Elephas maximus indicus: one gene and its partner. The protein of the gene in region 2 interacts with the protein of the main gene of each other region in a pairwise test. Links are inferred from orthologs where the notes say so. Each region holds a gene or a part of one and is shown on either strand. Other genes may lie near its edges. The genes, in order: C18H1orf116 and HOMER1.

Evidence for each region.
Region 1: the proteins of HOMER1 (region 2) and C18H1orf116 interact in binary tests that used the Homo sapiens proteins (3 or more experiments, as listed by UniProt). The link is inferred for Elephas maximus indicus from reciprocal best matches to the Homo sapiens genes HOMER1 and C1orf116.

What each region holds. Positions count from the first base shown.
Region 1 is NC_064836.1:16,878,459-16,889,099, reverse strand, and holds the start of C18H1orf116 (specifically androgen-regulated gene protein), read left to right. Parts: upstream 1-5,843; 5' UTR 5,844-6,039; intron 6,040-10,641. UniProt on the Homo sapiens protein: Putative androgen-specific receptor.
Region 2 is NC_064820.1:84,490,199-84,501,165, forward strand, and holds the start of HOMER1 (homer protein homolog 1), read right to left. Parts: upstream 5,204-10,967; 5' UTR 3,453-5,203; coding exon 3,448-3,452; intron 1-3,447. UniProt on the Homo sapiens protein: Postsynaptic density scaffolding protein. Binds and cross-links cytoplasmic regions of GRM1, GRM5, ITPR1, DNM3, RYR1, RYR2, SHANK1 and SHANK3.

The DNA of each region.
Region 1 (10,641 bases), on a different chromosome or scaffold from region 2:
TCCTGATAACAGGTACAAATTACGTGAGATGAAGTCTCGGCATTCTCATTTCTAAGGAGCACTCTGATTGTACTTCTTCCATGGCAGATTTATTCTTTTTTTTTTTTGACAGTCCATGGTATATTCGATATTCTTCACCAACACCATAATTCAAAGGCGTCAATTCTTCTTTGGTCTTCCTTATTCATTGTTCAGCTTTTGTATGAATATGAGGCAATTGTAAATGCTGTGGCTTGGGTCAGGCGCACCTTAGTCCTCAAAGTGACATCTTTACTTTTTAACACTTTAAAGAGGTCTTTTGCGGCAGAATTGCCCAATGCAATGTGTCATTTGATCTCCTGACTGCTGCTTCCATGAGTGTTGATTGTGGATCCAAGTAAAACAAAAGCCTTGACAACTTCAATTTTTTCTCCGTTTATCATGATGTTGCTTATTGGTCCATTTGTGAGTATTTTTGTTTACCTGTGTTTTATTGACTACGCAAAGGCATTCGACTGTGTGAATCATAACAAATTATGGAGAATATTGTGAAGAATAGAAATTCCAGAACACTTAATTGTGCTCTTGCGGAACCTGTAAGAGGCAGTTGTTTGAACAGAACAAGGGGATACCATATGGTTTAAAATCAGGAAAGGTATATGCCAGGGTTGAATCTTTTCACTATAAGTATTTGACCTGTAGACTGAGCAAATAATCCTAGAATCTGGACCATATGAAGAAGAACGCAGCATCAGGATTGGAGGGAGACTCATTAACAACCTGCAATATGTAGATGATACAACTTTGCATGCTGAAAGTGAAGAGGACTTGAAACACTTACTGATGAAGATCAAAGACCATAGCTTTCAGTATGAAGTATACCTTGACATAAAGAGAACAAAAATCCTCTGTAAAGTTTATAGCCTTGGAAATCCTATGGGGTAGTTCTACTCTGTCCTATACTGTCACTATGAGTCAGAATTGACTTGATGGCAAAGTGTTTGGTTTTGAATCTTTATGGCAGCAGATCACTAGGTCTTTCTCCCACAGAGGTGCCAGGTGGGTTTAAACTGCCAACTTTTGGTTAGCAACTGAATGCTTAACTACTGCACCACCAAGGCCCCTTAATGGTTAGAATTAGACCTACAAATTATCTGTGCATGTCATGTTCCATTTTCTCCAAAACAGGCAGATTGGCATCATTCTGATGTCAGGCTGCCTGAATTGAAACTACTGCCCTGTCACTTCCTGGCTACTTGTTCTTGGGCAAGTTATTTAACCTTTCTGTGCCCCCATTTCCTCACCTATAAAATTTAGGTAGTAATAGTGCCTACTTTTCAAAGTTGATATTAAATGTTAATATTAAGTTTATATTAAAAGTTCAAGATTCAATGAAATGATACATGCAAGTGCCTAGCAAAATACCTAGCAAAAAAGTAAAAACATAATAAAATTTGGAAATTATTGCATTTATTATTAACTTTAAATCTTCTTCCTGCCCCTTTAATGTGAGTAAGTAGAGTACCTTAAAAGTTGATAGGTATCATACCATATACACCAGGATAGTTCAACATTAGAAAATCAATGTAATCGACCACATAAACAGAACAAAAGAAAAGAATCACATGAACATCTCAATGGGTACAGTAAAGCATTTGATAAAGTCCAACACCCATTCCTGATTTAAAAAAAAAAAAAAAGTCTTAATAAAATAGAAGGTTAAGAGCTCAGCTGCTAACCAAAAGGTCAGCAGTTTGAATCTACCAGCCGCTCCTTGGAAATCCTATGAGTTGGTTCTACTCTGTCCCATAGGGTCACTATGAGTCAGAATAGGCTTGATGACAATTTTTTTTTCTTTAATATACAAAACCAACAGCCAACTTCATTCTCAATGGAGAGAGGCTGAAAGTATTTCCCCTGAGAGTGGGAACAAGACAAGGATGCCCTTTATCACCACTCCTATTTAACATTATGCTGAAAGTCCTAGCTAGAGCGATAAGGCAATAAAAATAAATAAAGAGCATCCAAATTGGAAAGGAAGAAATAAAACTATCCCTATTCACAGATAATATGATCCTATACATACAGAACCCCAAACATTCCACAAGAAAACTACTGGAGCTAATAGAAAATTCAGCAGAGAAGCAGGATACAAGATCAACATGCAAAGATCAGTTGGATTCCTATACACCAGCAAAAACAACTTTGAAAAGGAAATCAGGAAAATAATACCACTTATAATAGCCCCTGAAAAGATAAAATGCTTAGGAATAAATCTAACCAGGGACACAAAAGACCTATACAAAGAAAACAACAACACACTACTGGAAGAAACCAAAAGTAATCTACTTAAATGGAAAAACATACCATGCTCATGGATAGGTGGACTCAACATTGTGAAAATGTCAATTCTACCCAAAGTGATCTACAGATATAATGCAATCCCAATCCAAATACCAACAGCATTCTTTAATGAGATGGAAAAACTAATCACCAACTTTATATGGAAAGGAAAGAGGCCCGGGATAAGCAAAGAATCACTGAAGAAGAACGGCAAAGTAGGAGGCCTCACACTACCGATCTCAGAATCTACTATACCACCACAGTAGTCAAAACTACCTGGTACTGGGACAATGGCAGACACGTAGACCAATGGAACAGAATCAAGAACCCAGATGTAAATCCACCCACTTATAATGAGCTGATTTTTGACAAAGGACCAAAGCCCATTAAATGGAGAAAAGACAGCCTTTTTAACAAATGGTGCTGGCATAGCTGGATGTCCATCTGTAAAAAAAAATTAAATAGGACCCATACCTCACACCATACACAGAAACTAACACAAAATGGATCAAAGACCTAAATATAAAACCTAAAATGATAAAAAAAAAAAAAAAAAAAAGATCATGGAAAAAAAAACTTGGGGACAATGCTGGGGCCCTAATACGTGACATAAATATAACACATAACTAACAATACACAAACAGATAAGCTAGATAACTAGCATCATCTAAAAATTAAACACTTATGCTTATCAAAAGACTTCAGCAAAGGAGTAAAAAAAGAACCCACAGGCTGGGAAAAATTGGGGGCTATGGTACATCTGACAAAGGTCTAATCTCTAAAATCTGCAGAATACTTCAACACATCAATAACAAAAAGGCAAATGATCCAATTAAAAAATGGGCAAAAGATATGATCAGACAACTTCACCAAATAAGACATTCAGGCAGCAGGTAACAGACACCTGAGGAAATGCTCGTGATCACTAGCTATTAAAAAAAGCTACTAGAGAAATGCAAATTAAAACAATAATCAGATGCCATGGCACCCCAACATTACTGGCACTAATTAAAAAAACAGAAAATAACAAACGTTGGAGAGGTTGTGGGGAGATTGGGACTCTTAATCACTGCTGGTGGGAATGTAAAATGGTATAACCACTATGGAAAACGATATGGTGCCTCCTTAAAAAGCTAGAAATAGAAACACCATATGATCCAGCAATCTCACTCTTAGGAATATATCCTAGAGAAATAAGAGTCATCTCACGAAGAGACATATGCACACCAGCCATGTTCATTGCAGCACCATACACAGTAGCAAAAAGATGGAAACAACCTAAGTGCTCATCAACAGATGAATGGATAAACAAATTATGGTGCATACACACAATGCAATACTACACAACAATGAAGGACAATGATGAATCCATGAAACATCTTACAACATGGATGAATCTGGAGGCCGTTATGCTGAATGAAATAAGTCAATTACAAAAGGACAACTATTGTATGAGACCACTATTATAAAAACTCAAGAAAAAGCTTATAAACGAAAAAAGAATTTTGGCAATTATGAGGGAGGGGAGGGTCGGAGGGGACATCACTAACTAGATAGTAGACAAGTGTTAGCTTTGATGAAGGGGAAGACAACACACAATATAGGGGAAGTCAGTACTACTTGAACAAGGCAAAGTCATAGAGGCCACCTAAACATACCCAAACACCTTGAGGGACCAAGTTACTGGGACTGAGGGCTGGACGACATGGTCCCAGGGGACATCTAGGTCAACAGGCAAAATATAGTTCATAAAGAAAATGTTCTACATCCTATTTGGTGAGTAGTGTCTGGGGTCTTAAAAGAATGTGAGTGGCCATCTAAGATACATCTATTGGTCCCATCACATTCAGAGCAAAGGAGAACGAAGAAAACAAAAGACAGAAGGAAAATATTAGTCCAAAGGACTAATGGACTATATAACCACAGCCCCCACCAACCTGAGTCCAGATGAACCAGGTGGTATCCTGGCTATGACCACCAACCTCTCTGACAGGGATTGCAGTAGAAGGTCCTGGACAGAGAGGTAGAAAAATGTAGAACAAAATTCAAATTCACAAAAAAGACCAGACGACCTGGTCTGACAGAGACTGGAGGAACCCCTAAGATTATGGCCCCTGGGCACCCTGCTAACTCAGAACTGAAGCCCCTCCTGAGGTCCACCTTTCAACCAAAGATTAGACAAGTCTATAAAACAAACAATAACACACGCTAGGGATGTTCTTCTTAGTTCAATCAAGTATACGAGAGTAAATGTGCAATACCTGCCCAAAAGTAAAGATGAGAAGGCAGAAAGGGACAGGAAAACTGGATGAATGGACATGGAGAACCCAGGGTGGAAAGGGAAAGGGGGAGAGTGCTGACACACTGCGGGGATTGCAACCAATGTCATAAAACAATTCGTGTGTACCTTTTTAACGAAAAACTAATTGTGATGTAAACTTTCACCTAAAAAACAATAAAAAAAAAAAAAGTTGGTAGGTATCAAGTATAGCCTACCTTGAGGAGAAACCAACTTCCAGGCAAAAATCATATCTAGGAAGAGTAGCCAATATCTGGCGGGAGATTGTTTCCTGAAAGCACTGAGTTATTCTACCTCAAGCTGACTGAGATTCGCCCTGCTCTCTTCAGGTTGTTTTAACTACAGCTGCCAAAAATCTGCCCATGGAAGGAGACAAGAGTTGCTCAGCTAGTTGGTTGCTATTTTGTTTTTATTTCTTAATGCTCATTGCCCCTTCCTAGAACAGCTAAAAGAGACGGGAGACCCAAATGACAGGGTATATGTTCCCTCCCTTGCGGCTGCTGGTCACTTTATTATCAGGGCAGGGACCACCTGGGGGAAAAATAGTTTCATTTTCCCCAGAAATAAATGAGACCAAGAAGGTCGTTGGCCAGCAGTGGGGTGCGAGTATCTCAGCTAACACATTCCTAGCTGTAAGACACCCTCCTCAAGACAGCAGAAGCCTTGGAGATGAAAGTGATTCTGCTTAGCTAGAAAAGCAGAAACTGGCCACAAAGGATTTTAACTTGGGGAATTCAGGAGAATACTTAATTCCTGGAGCCCTGGTGGCACAGTTGTTAAGCATTTAGCTGCTAACCAAAAGGTCGGCAGTTTGAATCCACCAGCCGCTCCTTGGAAGCCATATGGGGCAGTTCTACTCTATTCTATAGGGTCACCATGAGTCGGAATCAACTTGACGAAAGAGAGTTCGGTTTGGGTTACTTAGTTCCTAGTGGAACAGGCCCACAGAAACGCATGCTGCCCAATGGATGTGCTCCTTTAAGTAATAACAAATAACTATGTTTTTGCCTAGCCCCTTCCTGCCAACCCTGCCGTCTTCCAGTACCAGTTCAAACCTGTCCCTCAGTGCTCCAGCCCTCCTTTTTTTACGGGCTCATTATTGGCTCTAAGGAAGAAGAAGGGTAGGGCAAGAGAGGATTGGTTAGGTGAGAGCAGTACTGCCTTGCCCATTCCCCTCCCACGCCCTACCTGGAGAAACAGCTGGAATGAGAAGTAGGGAGGGGAGGCTGGGATTGGATGAGAGGCAGTGGCAGGGTGGAGTGAGGCAGTCCAAATGAAGCATTTACCTGTCTAGGTAAGTCAGGAGGAGGTCAAAGGAAGAAAACAGTAGGAGGCAGGGGAAGCAGGCTCTGTCCGGTCTCTGCCCTTTGAAATAAAGGGCTATTCCTTTCCTCTCGTCAGCTGCCCACCAAGTGCAGGTGAGTCAGTCACTAACTACTGCTTATTCTGCAGCAAGAGGAGGGGTCTGTGGAAAGTCAGAGCTCCAGGATTGCGAGGGTCCCCCTACTCTTTATCCCAGCAAGGGGGCTTTCCTCTCTGTTCCTCAACTCTTTGTGTTTAGTGTGGGATTGGGGTAGGCTGGTAGCTTCATGAGGTTGCAGTATTTTTCTGGAGACTAGGGCCAAGACACATCTTTTTCATTTGCCTCTTTACATTGGATATGCATACTGTGCGGACAACATGGACAGGAAATAAAAGTGTGTTTGGGAAATGTCCCCCTCTGAGCAACTGAAGTGGGGCTGTGACTTTGAAAGAAAATAGTTGGAGTGGAGGGAGTCAAAGTGGGAGACGGTCCAAATAAGTAGAATGTTCCCTCCTTGGTCCTCCATTGCATTTATAACAGGAAATTCTTCCATGGCTTTATCAACTAGATGTCTATCTTTATTTAAATAAAGGGTGCAGTGTGTGTATGTTCAATCATGGTAGCTTGATAATGGAGCTTTGTGGGCAAGTGTGTAAGGTGTGCCCTGGGCTAGATTGTTTGTGAGGGATGTGAGTTTTAGGCACATTAGGAGAACCCCCACTCAGGCCACCAGCTCCTACTGGAAACACCATGGGTAATCTAGTTGTAAAATCAAGTTTATTTGGGTTCAACTCAATTTTCCAACTTTGCCTGTTAATAGATACAGAGACTGGCAAACAGAAAGTTAGCTGGCTGGCTGGAGCCTCACCCACATTAATGTTTCGCGGTAGCATGTCGAGTCTGGTCAGAGTTCTGAGTGGGGCTCAGTCCAAAGTGGGTGGCACAGTCCACAGAGAGGAGAACAGACCAATGTAAGGGTTTTATTTGGTTTCCCCTCAGTTGTCCCAATTGGCAATATGTATTGGCAGGTTTACCTGCACAAGGAAGCTGGATGTAAAAGTCAGAGCAGCAAGTCAGCTTTCCCTGTTATCTACCTTGGAATTAACACTCTGGTCCCTAACTTCGCCACTTTTCCTCCTGCCACAGGGCAGAGAGAAGAGGGAGGACCCAGTGCCAGGCTCCCAGAGCCTGGCACATGCCAACACTGGAGCTCTAGGCTTTAGCCTACCCACCCCCCCCACCACAGGGCCAGCCCTCTCACTCACTGTGAGACCTGTGGTAGATGGTGACCTTGTCACAATGAAGATCATCTGTAGTGCCTACCAAAGCTTTTCTGTGCAGAGGGTATTTCTACTCACCCCTTCCCTCAAACTCACTGGTAAAACAGGAGATTATAATGTTGTCTAAACACACACAGAAACTTGTCCGCATGCACGTGGCAAGGGACACATAGGCAGCCGTCCCCTGGTGTTTTTCTTAGAATGCTCTCCAGCCCTAGCCTAGGTGCATTTCTGGGTAGTCAGCAGAAAGCAGATCCTGGTCAGAGAGAATCAGGAAACCTCTTTGACTACTGGGAGAGAGACTGTGTTCTTGGGGGACTTAGGTGTGGGCTACTGGGAGGAGAGTGACAGTGGGCTCTGGGTCTGTTTAGAAGGTACCAAGAAGCCGAACTGGAATGGGACTGGAGTCCACTCCTCACCCCGCCCCCTCTAGATGCCAGAACTCCACATTATTTACTCACCTCCAAGGCTTGGCTGGTTTCAGTGGAGTAGTTAATATTTAACGCAGCTTTGAACGGGTGGTCCTGATGATAGGCTGTGCATGTTTCTTAACCAATTCCCTCCACCCTTCAAGCCTCCAAAAGAGGTCGAGGGTTAAAAGATACCAAGCTCTCACCTTGAGTGTTTTGCTTGTTTCTCGGGCTTCTTATCAGATAGAAATATCTCAGGTTTCAATGACTACCCTGAAAAAGCTCCCAAGTTTCAAAGTTGTAAAGTTGTTGGAAAGAAATGAAGCCAAGCTGGGTAGAAGGGTGGGAAGAAGAGAATTTTTTTTTTTCTCTTTAATATTCCAAACTCTTTGGGTCAGAAAATTTGGTGTGGAGATGAAGTGCGAGCGCCCCAGGGCTCACTCGTCTTTGATTTCAGATTCAGATTCATCTCTGCGGTGATTATGTAGTGCCTGGTGACATGATCTTCAGTGGCGTTGGGTGTCATTTCTTTAGTCTTTGGAAATATCTGTCTGTTACTGGGCAATAAATTGGCCTGGAAGCATACGACTAAGCTGGATAACTCACAGAAGTTAAGGTATGAAGGGGAAGGAGAGGATGATTTCAGGGCTTTCAGAATTTCATCGGGGTAGCCAATGACACTTCTTTGGGTACATGCCACTCTTGCATCTGGACAGTCCTTGAGATGCCCTCTGGAGGTCCCGGATCCACAGGTTGCCTTTTGCATGCTGTTAAAGGTCATTCCTACTTCCTTTAGGAAGAGGTAGTGGAAAGACCCCCAGCTTTCTCAACTGTAAAATGAAGGAAATGTCACATCCTGCCTATGCTGCAGGTTATTATGAAGACCTGATTAGCGTATCTGTGAGCCATAGCATGCTATGCTCTTTGGAAGCAGTGCTATTCCTGTTGTTTTTATCTCTTCTTGCTGTTTTGGGCTCTGCTAGAGGGTTTCCTGAAGTGAGAGTAAGACAGGCTTCCCTGGAAGGAAGGAGAGGCTAGCAAAGCACTATGAAGTCTGAAGCGTACTCAGAAGAGCAAGGGTAGTGATTTTCTGTGAAAAGAAGAGGCAGCATCTTCTCACCCATGCAGAGAGAGTATTACATTAATTACAGTGAGTCACTTTAAATACCTACTGCCCCAATTTTATAGATAAGAAAACTAGGTCTGAAAACTAGACCCTTGGATCTACACTGGCTTCTTGAAAACAAGGCGTTTGTCTCGTACAGTTTTTCACCCTCAGTGTCTCTTACGTGTTCATAAATGTTAGTCTAACTGAAAACATTGCCCAAGTTTCTTGAGTCACATATTATCTGAGAAATAAAACATTTAAGGAAAAATTGCAGTGGTAAGTTAGAAGCCAAGAAAAAGCCTTCCAACAGCTCAACCCAATAGGCACTAAAATGGATGAGAAGTTAATCACCCAGCATTGTGTGAAGGCCTTCTGTACGTCTGGCCTATGAGATGGATCTCCTTTGCTGTCGTGGCCTCAGCCCTATAAAATGTTTAGAATGGGCAGTTGTAAATGAAGTGAATAGCTGGAATGACTGACCTTTATCCACGTGACCTCTCAAATTCCTCTCAATGTTTGGATATGCACAGTGGTTAAAGCAATTGACTGCTAACCAAAAGGTTGGCAGTTCTAAACCCCCAGCACCTCCGTGGGAGAAAGATGTGGCAGTCTGCTTCTGTAGAGATTTACAGCCTTGGAAACCCTATGGGGCCGCTATGAGTCAAAATTAACTTGACGGTAGTCCCAGACCCAAATTAGTAGGTTTGTTTTTTTTTGTGGGGTGGAGGGTGAAGGGGGACTAACTTCACCAAGGAGCCCTAAGAGATATCTCACCCAAAGTTGATTTATCGTTGGATTTTTTTGATGTCTCTGCCTCCTCTGGCCCCTCCCACAGATGTCTGGTTCACCAGGAATCTTCCCTCTTCCTTCCCCGGTACCCTGCCCCTCCCTACCTGCCCCTCTTGAGGGACTCCTCCCAAGCACGAGAGGAGCGCCATGTGGGCTTGTGCTTGCCAGCTCTGTATGATTGGCAGGCTGACTCACCCAACCTGGCCCAAACCTGACTGTGGCACTAGAAGAAATTCTTGCAGAATCCAAAGAGATACCTGCCCATGTATCCAAGCACCCAGATCTCAAATAGAGCACGTTTTCTAGGACATTTTACCCAGTATGGAGATGGGGGAGAGGTGTCGGAAAATATAACATGGTATTACGGGGAAGATGGAAACCCTGGTTGTGTAGTGGTTAGAGCTACGACTGCTAACCAAAAGGTCAGCAATTTGAATCCACCAGGCACTCCTTAGAAACTCTATGGGGCAGTACTACTCTGTCCTACAGGGTCGCTATGAGTCGGAATCAACTCGACGGCAACAGGTTTGGGTTTTTTTTTTGGTATGGGGAGGATATGGATTCACAATCAGGCAAACTATGTTCAAATACCAGCTGTGCCTAAGAGAATCATCCCTGGCCTGCCCAACTCTAGTGGAGTGTTTCCCACAAACAGGCATATGAAAATGCTTAGGACTTTTAGAGGAAAGATAGCACTGCCTTATCAGCTGCTACTACTTCTGTCACAGTCAACTTGAAAGTTTTTTCCCTTTGGAGTTGGAGTTGGGGGGGGAGGGGAAGCTACATAGCGTGTTTCTCTTGTTTGAAACAGGCTGGGGAACCTCACTGGGAGTAAGTGCAATAACAGAGAGGGTGATACGCAAGAAGGAGATTGAGTTTATGTTAACCATTCCAGGTGCCACGAACATGTCTCCCAGGCTAGGGAGGTGATGGTGGTTGTGGTGGTGGTTTGTAGTGATGGTGTTGATGATGTTGACTCTGATAGCAACTAACAACCACTGGCCTGTGTACCGTGCAAAGGTTTGCATGGAGTATTTCCTTATACTCACGTGACAGCCACATGAGGTGGGTACTGTTAAGGGCCCTGTTCCTTCTTTCAAGCCTATAGCTTCCCATTTAACCAGAAACAT
Region 2 (10,967 bases):
ATTTGCAGTGCTGGACTAAGATTTCAGCATTGTTGCTACAATCCCCAGACAGCAGCACCTGGCAGCCTGAGGCACAAAGACGTGTCAGCTTCCTGTCCTTCAGCAAAGAAGGGACTCAGTTCAGTTGCAATGCTGCAGCACCCACTTCCATGCCTCCACAAGTTATCTGGGGAAGGGGAGAGGCAAGATTCCAGAGGCTCCCACAGGTAGGTGAGATAAATCAGAAACTGCACCAGCCAACTTCATTAGCAGGAAGGACCCTCATTTTATATATAAACCAAAAAAAAAAAAAAAACCCACTGCCATCCAATCGATTCCGACTCATAGCGACCCTACATATAAACCAAAAAAAACCAAACCCATTGCCATCCAATAGATTCCAACTCATAGCGACCCTATATAACTAGCTTTAATTGGGTAGGGGGAGCTTTAGTCCTTTGTTGTTGGCACTTAGTTGCCAATATGATCTAAGCAACAATTCAAAAACCAAACCCAGTGCCGTCGAGTCAATTCCAACTCATAGCGACCCTGTAGGACAGAGTAGAACTGCCCCCATAGTTTTCAAGGAGCGCCTGGAGGATCCGAACTGCTGACCCTTTGGTTAGCAGCCGTAGCACTTAACCACTATGCCACTAGGGTTTCCAAAAAAATAAATAAATAAACAAAATATTCCAAAGGTAGCATGAAATAACTGAAGTTACTTGATTTCTGTTGACTCGTCTGACAGCTCTGAAATAGGTAGTGACTCACTGCTCTTATTGTGAGATGCTACTTGGGGGGGGGGGTGGCAAACCAAAGGGAGGGGACCTTCTCACTGAGTTTTCCATAGACTTCATCTTACATACGTGAATGCCCTAATTTTTTATTGTCTGACACAACTTTACAAACGGATACTTCAGCTGTCTTCACTGCAATTAAAAACAGTTCATGCAGCATCCAAGATACTTTGACAGACTCTGCCAACTGTCAGTTTCAGCTGTTCTTTTCAGTTCCACCAGAGTTCATAAATTACTGTTCAGGAGCCACAGATTTTCTTCCCACCTAATCACTCATTTTCTTGAACGTAACCTCTTTTGCTTAGACTTTGCCCTTAAAATTACATTCATAATTAAGGCAAAGAAATAATTTTTACTATGAGCTAGCATCAGCCAAAAATGCATTCATTATATGTGACACTCTTCACTCACAATATTAAATTTCAGACACGTGTCAGAATAAAGTTTTAGGATTGCGTGGGTAAAAGTTTAAAGGTCATTTATAGCTCTGTTTCCTCTTGTTTTACATAGGTGCTGGCAGCTACGCTTACTCCACAAACATTTATTAGGTATAAACATCTATCAAGTTTGGAAACTTGCACAAATGCCTTCTCCTTGTGCTCTTCTAGTCCACTTCCACCTACACTTCCGCTCATTAATTCAAGACGGTACACGTCACTATCAATGAAAAGGGTCATAGCCCCTATAACGGACTTTCTGAAAAATAACGCCACAAACACTCGCTCCCTTTCCACCTCAGTCCACCTTTAAGACTTTATTAACAAAAGGCAAATAAACTAGTTTATCAGCAAATTTAATTATGCTGAAGTATCTAAATGTGTGTTACGTGTGTGCTGGGCACGGGGAGGCTTATTTTTATATTTTAAATCCTAGTCCCCTCAGTATTTAAGTTCATCTCAAGCCTTCTTGGTAAAATGATAGGCATTCATGAGGCTTAAAAAAAAAAATTTTTTTTTTTAAGGTTGTGGAAAACTGATTTTCTTCCAAGATGCTACCGCTCACAATCTAGAGAATGCAGTCTTCAACGTGAAAAACTGCCACTTGATTTTTTTGCTCCAACATATTTTAACCAGAAGAACTGCAGGTTCTCAAAAGAAGCCATATTTCAAAGGCTTTAAATAACAGTATTTTTCAGAATCCCTCCTTTAAAATTAGTGGAGTTAATCTAAAACATTTTTCAAATGCATTATTTTCCAGCTTGTTAAGGTGCTTAAAAACTCTTTACAGAAAATAACATCTCCACCTGAAAGATCTACTTTAAGAAGCCAACTAGTGATCATTAAAATGTAAGGAGAAAAAAGAAAACAATTCATTTTTATAGTTGGAAAAGTCTTTCAAACCCATCTCACATAAGTTCTTCACTTTGCAGATAAGAAGACAGTCCACAGAAGTTAAATATTTGCCTCAGAGCACTAGCCTACTAATAGCAATGCTAGAAACAGAATGAGATATTTTAATTGCTCCCAAATCATGGGAATTACATACATTCTCACCACTTGTAATTTTTTAAGAACAGTTATCACCGTTTTCCATTAATTCCTGAGGAAGAGCTCCTACAATACCCAAGCTATGAAAGTTGTTCAAATTAATTAACTTCACATTTTAACTCCAACAAAAAGGTAGTACTACCCAAAACTTCCTTTCAAAAGTCTCAAGAAGTGTGTGTACACTCCCCTAAACTATCACAAAGAAATGTGAGTCCATCCTTTCAAAATCTGCCCCTCAACCACACACACACACAGAGAGAGAGGGAGGGAGGGAGGGAGGCAGAGAAAATTCTGGAAGTTCCTCTCTGAGGGAAAGCATCAACAATCTGTCAATAAAACAAGTAGATCATTCCATTAATATGAGTTTCCAGCTTAAATTAGGAAGTCACTAGCATTTTATCAAGCTACTCGTGTGAACGAACTTAATAAAAGGTTGGAAAATGCACTCCTGATTGGATTTGGATCTGACAGAAAGGTAGATCTGACATTGTTAACACAAACGGAAAACCTGAGCTTAGAAGTAAAAAACAGAAGAAGTGAACAAGTTCCTTCGACAAAAGACTTTTTCTTATTCAAGTTCTTATTTCCTACTGACTGCACCGCACTCTGGAGACAGCTTCAGTAGACTTTCAAATTTTCATTTAAATCCCCCCAATAAATCAGTTCTAGCTTATATATATACATATATATTTTTAGCTTATATTCAAGGGCAAAACAGAGGGCACATTGAGGGCAATAATTTACACTGGATCATTTTCAAGGACTGTCGTCTAACTGCTATTTAGTTTACAATACAATCGTTCCCTTTGTGCAACTGATTATTCTCAAAGTACTGAGAGAATGCAGTACTTCTTTTTGAAAGACATCGACCAGCAACAAAACCTCAGACACGATTTTGATTACAAACTCATGCAGCAGTTTGTGGAGAATGCGTTGCCTTCTTAAATATTACTGATAAAACTATATTCCGGTTACTAACGTTATACGCGCCGTTCCTTAACTATGACCTCCCTGTGTCACTCTAAAAGAACGCACAAAATAAATTGTTAATAGGTTAACACACCTATATTTTGAAGGTGTAGCCAGCTTAGCAAGGTGGCAAATTTGTTCGAAAACACAAAACACAGACAATAACACACATACATAAACAGATTTGAAGTTGTGTTAAGCACAAAAATCCTTACCCCATTTTGCCCAGTGAAAACTTGCTCTGAAGTTTCTGCTCTTATACGGAATAACTTCCAAAGGAATTTCTCCGTTTGCTATTTCGCCGTTGCTTTTCCACCCCCCGAAGTCCTTTTCCGGAGGTATTTTAATGATGCTGACAATTTGTTTCCTTAAGTAAAATGCTTTCTCCCTCGTAAGTAAGAAATCGTTCAAATAAACTGAGGTGGCATTTGCTTATTAGAGTTAAAATGCTGCGCGGAGAAGACAACGGTCAACTCTATTCCACAAAATGAGTCTGTAGGAAAACGCGGGATCCAGCTTCACCGAGTCCTATAAAAACTGAGTTCGCTGGTCTTTTCGCTCATGTCCTCCTTGACACTCACGAAGAGCTAGGTAACTCGGCCTTTTCGGTGCTACGGGTTCAAATTTCTCCACACCAAGTCCCTGGGGGTGGAGCGTCAACCCACCGCGACGTGCACTTAAAAGATCCCTACCTGAAAATAAACATCCGAAAAGCAGTAATGCCAATGCTTCCCTACGCTCACATTAGAAAAAAATATATAGAAAAATCTCCTCGAAGTGCAAACCCGACAGCTCGCGACGTGCACGGCACTCCACATTGGAATCTGTCTTTTTAATTTTCCCCTCAAGACTCGGAGCAGAGAGGAGGTAGGGAGAAGGAAGAGAAGACTGGGCAGGATCGATTCACTCTCCCGAGGAGAATAAACGGAGCCATATCTCTACTGGCAGAAGGCTGGGGGCGCAGCGCACGCCGGGGAGCAGGGGGAGGGGACCCGATCCCACCTCCCTCAGCCCCTGCCCGCCCCCCGCCGCCGAGCACAATGGAGCCCGCCTCGCGCCCGGCCCTTCATTCGCCGCTGCCCTCTTCCCCCTCCCTTCAGAGCGCAGCGGGTCTCAGGCTCCCGTCGGCAAGGAATGAATGAATCAGAGAGCCAGGCTCCACGCTTCCAACGGCACCCTGCCCCCAGCTCCGGGGCGGGCCGAGCGGCGGCGGAGGAGGGGGCTGAAGGGTCGACGGGCGCTAATGCCGCGTCAGGGACCGGGGACCAGGGCTCCGAGCCGCGGGAGAGCCGCTGCTCCAGCGCCCTCACCCCTGCTCCTCGCCTCTCTGGCTGCGCACTGCCGCCACGCGCCGCCTCACATTCCCGGAGCCCTGCTGCCGCCTCCTCACACCTCCTTCACCACCCGCCTCCGCCGGCTTCCAGCTCCCGCTCGGCAGGACCCCGCCGGACCGAGCGGCCTGAAGCCCGCCGGTGCCTCCGCCTTCGCCCGCCGGCTTGCAGAGCGGAGGGCACCCCTTCCCCGGTCAGCACAGCCCGCAAGAGGCTAGCGCGGCGGCGGAGCGAGCTGCGGGGGGCGGAGGAGGGGGCGGGGAGAATGGGGGCGGGTGATAGTGGCCCCTCCCCCTGCTCGCAGGAGGGGCGGGAGGCGGCCGCCACCGCGGAGGCGCGGCCGGGAGCCGGGAGCTGGGGCGCAGATCTGTCCCTTGGGCCCCGAGGGGCCCTGCGGGGTGCGGGAGGGGGAGACAGCCGCGAGGGGGAGGAGAGGCTGGTGGTCAGGGGCCGAGCCAGCCCTCGTGGGGAGCTAGGCCAGCCAGTCAGCAGGTCCGTCAGTCCGTCCTTCCTTTCTTTCCCCCCTCCCCTAGCGGCCGGCGGCGGGCGGGCCGTGCGCTCTCCTCCTCCGCTGGCTCCTGGCCCCGCTCCCGGCCGCCACAGCCTCCGCCGCTCCCCACACCAGATGCTCGCGCTGTGTCTCCATCCTCCCCGCAGGAGGACCTTTAAATAGCAACGTCAGCGCGCTCCTCTCCGCACACACGTCACCCGCCGCTCACGTCACCAGAGTGCGGGGGATGATGTCACGCGGCCGGAAGCATTGCTAAATTAGGGAAGGAGCAGGGGAGGAGGACTCGGCGAGCTCTTCTGTGCCCACCTGTTCTAGCTTCTCCTTAAAGGCCAAAGTACAGGAGACAGCCCGAGAGGAGCTCCTAGAAGGAAGCGGCTGGAGGAGATTTCCTCGCAACAAATGTGCCAAATGAAGTGAATCATTCATAGCAACAGTTCCGAAGTGTCAGGGGGCGGGGGGTGATATCCTATCTCCCACTCCCACCCCTGTTGCAGCAGCATCCCCGAGCTTTTCACGTCCCAACTAGCTGGGAAATGTGGGAGGGAGAACCTGAACACTAGTGGTAGATATACTTCCAAGACTTGGGAAAATTCACCGTAATTTTCGAAAGACTTATTAAATACCAATCTATAAATTGTAGACGTTAAAACTTCTCTTTTCCCCTCTTTAGTGATTAAGTACAGAAGAATAAAGAGCCGGGCCATGAACAAAGGTTATACAGCAATGCTATAAATGATAGTAAAGGGGAAAGGACATAAAATGATATGTTTTCATTTGCAAAAAAACAATGTTTTGGCATAGGATAATGTTTCAATCTTAGAAAGTTCATTCAGATAATTATCATAGCAACCGAATCACCCGTTGCTATCAAGTCGATTCTTACTCAAAGCAATCCTGTAGGACACAGTAGAACTGCCCTATAGGGTTTCCAAGGAATAGCTGGTGGATTAGAACTGCGGACCTTTTGGTTAGCAGCCCAACGTTCAACCATTGGGCCACCAGGGCTCTTATAGCAAACGCCAGTATATTCTCACTTCCGGTGTACCAACAACGTGAGTTCCAGTTTGTGGAAATTAAAATAAGACCACTAAATCCTTTTTTGTTAACACGAGCACATTTTGATTATTTTTGTCTTCCTTAGTTTTTACCATATAATACATAGTTAAAATATTTCCTAAGTATGTTTTTCACTTCTATTCATGGCAAGGGTGAATACCCGCGTATAGGCTTATTAGCTATGTTTCTGTCTATATTACAAATGCTTTTAAAACTATAAATTACTATAAAGCTTTTACAACTTCTACCTATTAAGACTCAAATATATAACGAATTTTTGTTTAATTTGATTTAACTTGATAGTCATGGGCCGGAAAAAGAATTGCTACCTACTGTCAAAGGATATTACTATTTCAGAGTTAGTCTCTAAATTGAGTGACCATGTATTTCAAACCAAAATCAGGACACATCATATGACAATAAATGAAATACTTGAAATCCGAAGTGACCTGGAAAATCCAGGACATAGGATTACCAACCTATACAGTGATTGTTAACCCGTTGCCTTCGGGGTTTGGTTTGGTTTATGCAGATGATTAAATTCTGACTTTAATATATTTGCGAGATTTCCATATCTCACCACTTTGGTGTGATTCTTATGTCATTTTCTACTGATTTGACTCATAGGGACCCTATAGGACAGAGTAGAACTGCCCCATATAGTATCCAAGGAGCAGCTGGTGGATTCCAACTTCCAACCTTTTGGTTAGCAGCGGACCTTTTAACCCCTGTGCCACCAGGGCTCAAGTGATTGTTAAAAGAGAGTTATAAATCAATGTAGCTTAAACAAGAGAACCTAAAACTCTATAGAATTTATACCCTGTGGGGGGGGGGGACATGTTTTTAATGTTAAGCTACTCACACAATTCCTAATTAAGTAACATTGGTTTTGCAGCTTTCTGCATGTAAATATTCTTAATCAAATTAGGAACCCAAGATTAAAGAACACTGGCAAAAAAAAAAAAAAGATTAATACCAATTTGTAACTAAATCAGGCTTTCTGATCATCTTCACATTATGAAATCATGATCCCTCCCTGATTTCAGAATTTGCTTCAAGTTTGAAATGTTAAAAGTAGTGAATAGAAACATTTTTAAAAGGTTATAAAAAAAAAAGTTAATCAGAAGCAAATCCGTACTTGCCAATTCGTCTAATACATATGAACGTGTTAATAGAAACTTGTACTAACATATTTCAGACAAATGGATCTTCCTACTTACATATAAAATATTAAAAAAATAAGACCATCATTCTTCAAATAATGTCATCTCTTGGCCTCTGCAAATTAAAATAGAAATTAATTTTTTACTCTACTAAATTTTCTCTACAAACTATTTTTTCTCAGAACTGAATCACTTATCCCTCTTTCCTGCTCTTTCCCTTCATGTTAAAGTTCTCACGTTACCATTTTTCAAACACTTCATTCTACCCTTTGATCGCAACTTCCTGTGTTTTACAAACTTTTTCCTCTTAATTTTTACCCAGCTGTCAAAACAGCATGTCAGCTGCCCCCTTGCCTTTAGAATGCTGACCTTTCAATAGAATTTCCACTTTTCAAAGCTGCATGGTCCCTTCTCAGCTGCTCTTTTGTTGACTGAAAACTGAGAGTACCTTTTTTTAAAACATAAATCTAATGGTGCACTGTGATATAATTATTTAACTTTGGCCTCTGCTCTTATTGAGAAAATTCTCCAGATAATCAATCAGTTTTTGTTTCTTGTTTATGTGGGATGAGTATATAAGGGAGTATATATGTCCATGTATCCAAGATAACAAGTAAAAACTTTGAAATATTTTATGTAATATGGAAGCTCAGGAAAAAAATAAGGGAAGTGAGGTCCTATTTTCCCCTCTTGAAATAAATCCAATATAATTTTGAGAGGAGTCAGAGAACCATTCTATAACTTTCCATCTAAAAGTATTATCTTTTCTCCTAAAATGAGCTGACATAACCCAAATCCCAGACATGAATTTCCAACTCTGATTTCTTTGTATGTTTATTAAAGTAGTGAGCTTCCTAGAAAGTAATGTATTTTCTTTTACCGGAAGAGCAAAAAGTGCTTTAGCAGAGTTTCAAATTTTTAACACTTCCTGTTTCCCACTTACATTCCGAAAATTTGTAGAGAGGTTTATGAATACCCTCTGATTTTAGAATCTGTGGGCGAAGGCATCTGTTTTAGTTACAGAGTTTACTTCCATGCCCTTAATAGGAGATGGCAGTCTTCAATGGGTGTTCATAGCTTGGTCATGAGATATGTCTTTTTCAATGAAAAGACATCTAGAACATAGAAAAACTTGGCAGAAAAGAGGGTAAAAGTCGAATTTTATTTTTAATTGCTTAACATTAAATTAGATAATAGCAACTTCCTTTCAAGTTGTCTCTTTTTAATAGCCAAAACACCAGTATTGCTTCAAACAAAGTAATAAGTAAAAGGATACCGCTCCATACAATAGAAACCTCAAGATTTCTAGTTAATGCCACGTAGTTCTGAAGGAACAAAATAACCAGCAAATACTAAACGTGATGAGAAAAGAATGAAAGAGCTGTAGGGAATCAGAATTTATCAAGTTAACTCTCTCAAATCATTCCACCTCTTCCACACTGTAGCAGATATTGGGTGCCATTAAGTTATGTTTGGCCTATTTATAAAAAACATCTTTTGTTATTATCAGTAATGTTCTGAACAGAAACAGGTTAGTTAATAGTCTAAAGAGTGGAAAGGTAAGTGTCTTAATTGTCTAGTGCTGCTATAATGGAAATAAGACAAGTGGATGGCTTTAACACACAGAAGTATATTCTCTCACAGTCTAGGAGGCTAGAAGTCTGAATTCAGGGCACTAACTCCAGGGGAAGGCTTTCTCTTTCTGTCAGTTTTGGGAGAAGGTCTTTGTCATCAATCGTTCCCTGATCTAGCAGCTTCTCAGCACAGGGGCTCCAGGTCCAAAGGACACGCTGTGCTCCCAGCACGTCATTCTTGGTGGCATGAGGTCCCTCTCCTCTCTGCTTGCTTCTCTCTTTTATATCTCAAAATGTATTGGCTCAAGATATAACCTGATCCTGTAGATTGAGGAGTCTTGCCCCAATAACATAACTGCTTTTAATCCTGCCTCATTAATATCATAGCGATTGGGATTTACAGCACATATGATAATCACATCAGATCACAAAATGGTTGACAACCGCACAATACTGTGACTCATGGCCTAGCCAAATTTATACGTATTTTTGGGGGGATACAAGTCAATCCATAACAGTAAGTGTTTGGCATCTCCAAGGCAATTGCTTGAGGACAAGTTTTATCTCTCTGAGTAAGTGAATTTTATCTAATATAGGTATATATGCATTATTTTGTCACAGGAATTTGGGCATGATAGGGTGGTACCAACAGTTAATATGCTGCACTGCTAACACAAAGTTTAGGGGTTCAAGCCCACCCACAGATACCTTGGAAGGAAGGTTTGGTGATCTACTTCCAGAAAATCAGCCATCGAAAACCCTGTGGAGCTCAGTTCTACTCTGACGCATCACATTGTGTTACAGACTCTACAGTAACTTTTTAGGAAGGAGAGAGAAGTTAGAGAATTATCGTCAGGAAATATATGATATTGAGCCCATGGGAAATGATCTCACAGAACTATCTCCTACTCTGATTTTTACTGTAAATTCATTCTTTGTTTTCCAAATACTAGCAAAAAGATAAAAATATAATACAAGCCAGTGAAAGAACATACCAGAGAGTTTTTCATTAGGCACTGTGAGGAACTCATTGTATAATTACGTATGTAAATTTTAAGACATTCAGAAGAGACAGGGATATTGATGTCTTTGAAAAAATTATCTCGTTTAACTCCAGGTTTTTCGATTGTGTTTTTGATTGGTTGGTTGGTTGTTTCAAACAGCAGTTACAGAAAACATGGTGTAAAAATATGCAGCTCTGCAGACAGCTACAGTAAAGACTGTAGTAAAGCTTGAGCTGTACCTGTGCAGTTACTTAGAATGGAATGCTGTAGAAGCTGATTGCTATGGTAACCAATAATCTTTTTCCTGAAAGGGGGAACAGAGCAACCATGAGGAAAATATTTTAAATGAGCTGTTACCTTATTTTGTGATTCTTTTGGTGCCAGCTAGGAGAAAAACAACACCCAAGGTATTTAGGACAGCCGCTCTTATGAAGGGAAGTTGCCTGTTTTTTCAAAGAAATAAGAGTAAAGCAGAAATTTGGCACTATTTTAAAAAGAGGTGGGGGTTTAAGATGGCAATTGCAAACTCTCTGAAGCTGAACATAACTGATAAAGACTCTGACATGGCTAAAGCAGCAAGAAATGATAAATACCTAGATCATGTGTTAAAGGTTCCCCCAAGCGTAAGAGCTCAGAGATTTGATGCTCAACATTTGCAGTTTTTTTAGCCAAGATACTTCATAAGTTACTGATTAGGCTTTTTGGTTTCTTTTAATCTAATTCTAAACAATAATTTCTCTACAAATTAGAACAGAAATGGCAAATATATCTTTAATCAATATCTATTTTGCTATTTTAATAATGAATTCTTTTTTCCTAAAATGTGTGTACGTATGTGTTTGTGTGAGTGTTGTGTCATCTGCTAAAATCTCTCACACTTAGAATAAAATCCAAACTCTATTTCTTAGTCCAAGAGGCACTCCTCGATCTGGCTCCTACCCCCCCTCTTATCTCAGCTACCATTTCCCCCATCAGCTGCTACTCTATGTGTTCCTGTGTTATCAACTCTCTATATTTAACAAGAAGTCTGAAGGTAGGTGGTCCTGTGGTTGGTTTAGAAGGTTCAGGGTGTCATCAGGGTCCAGGATCTTTCCAT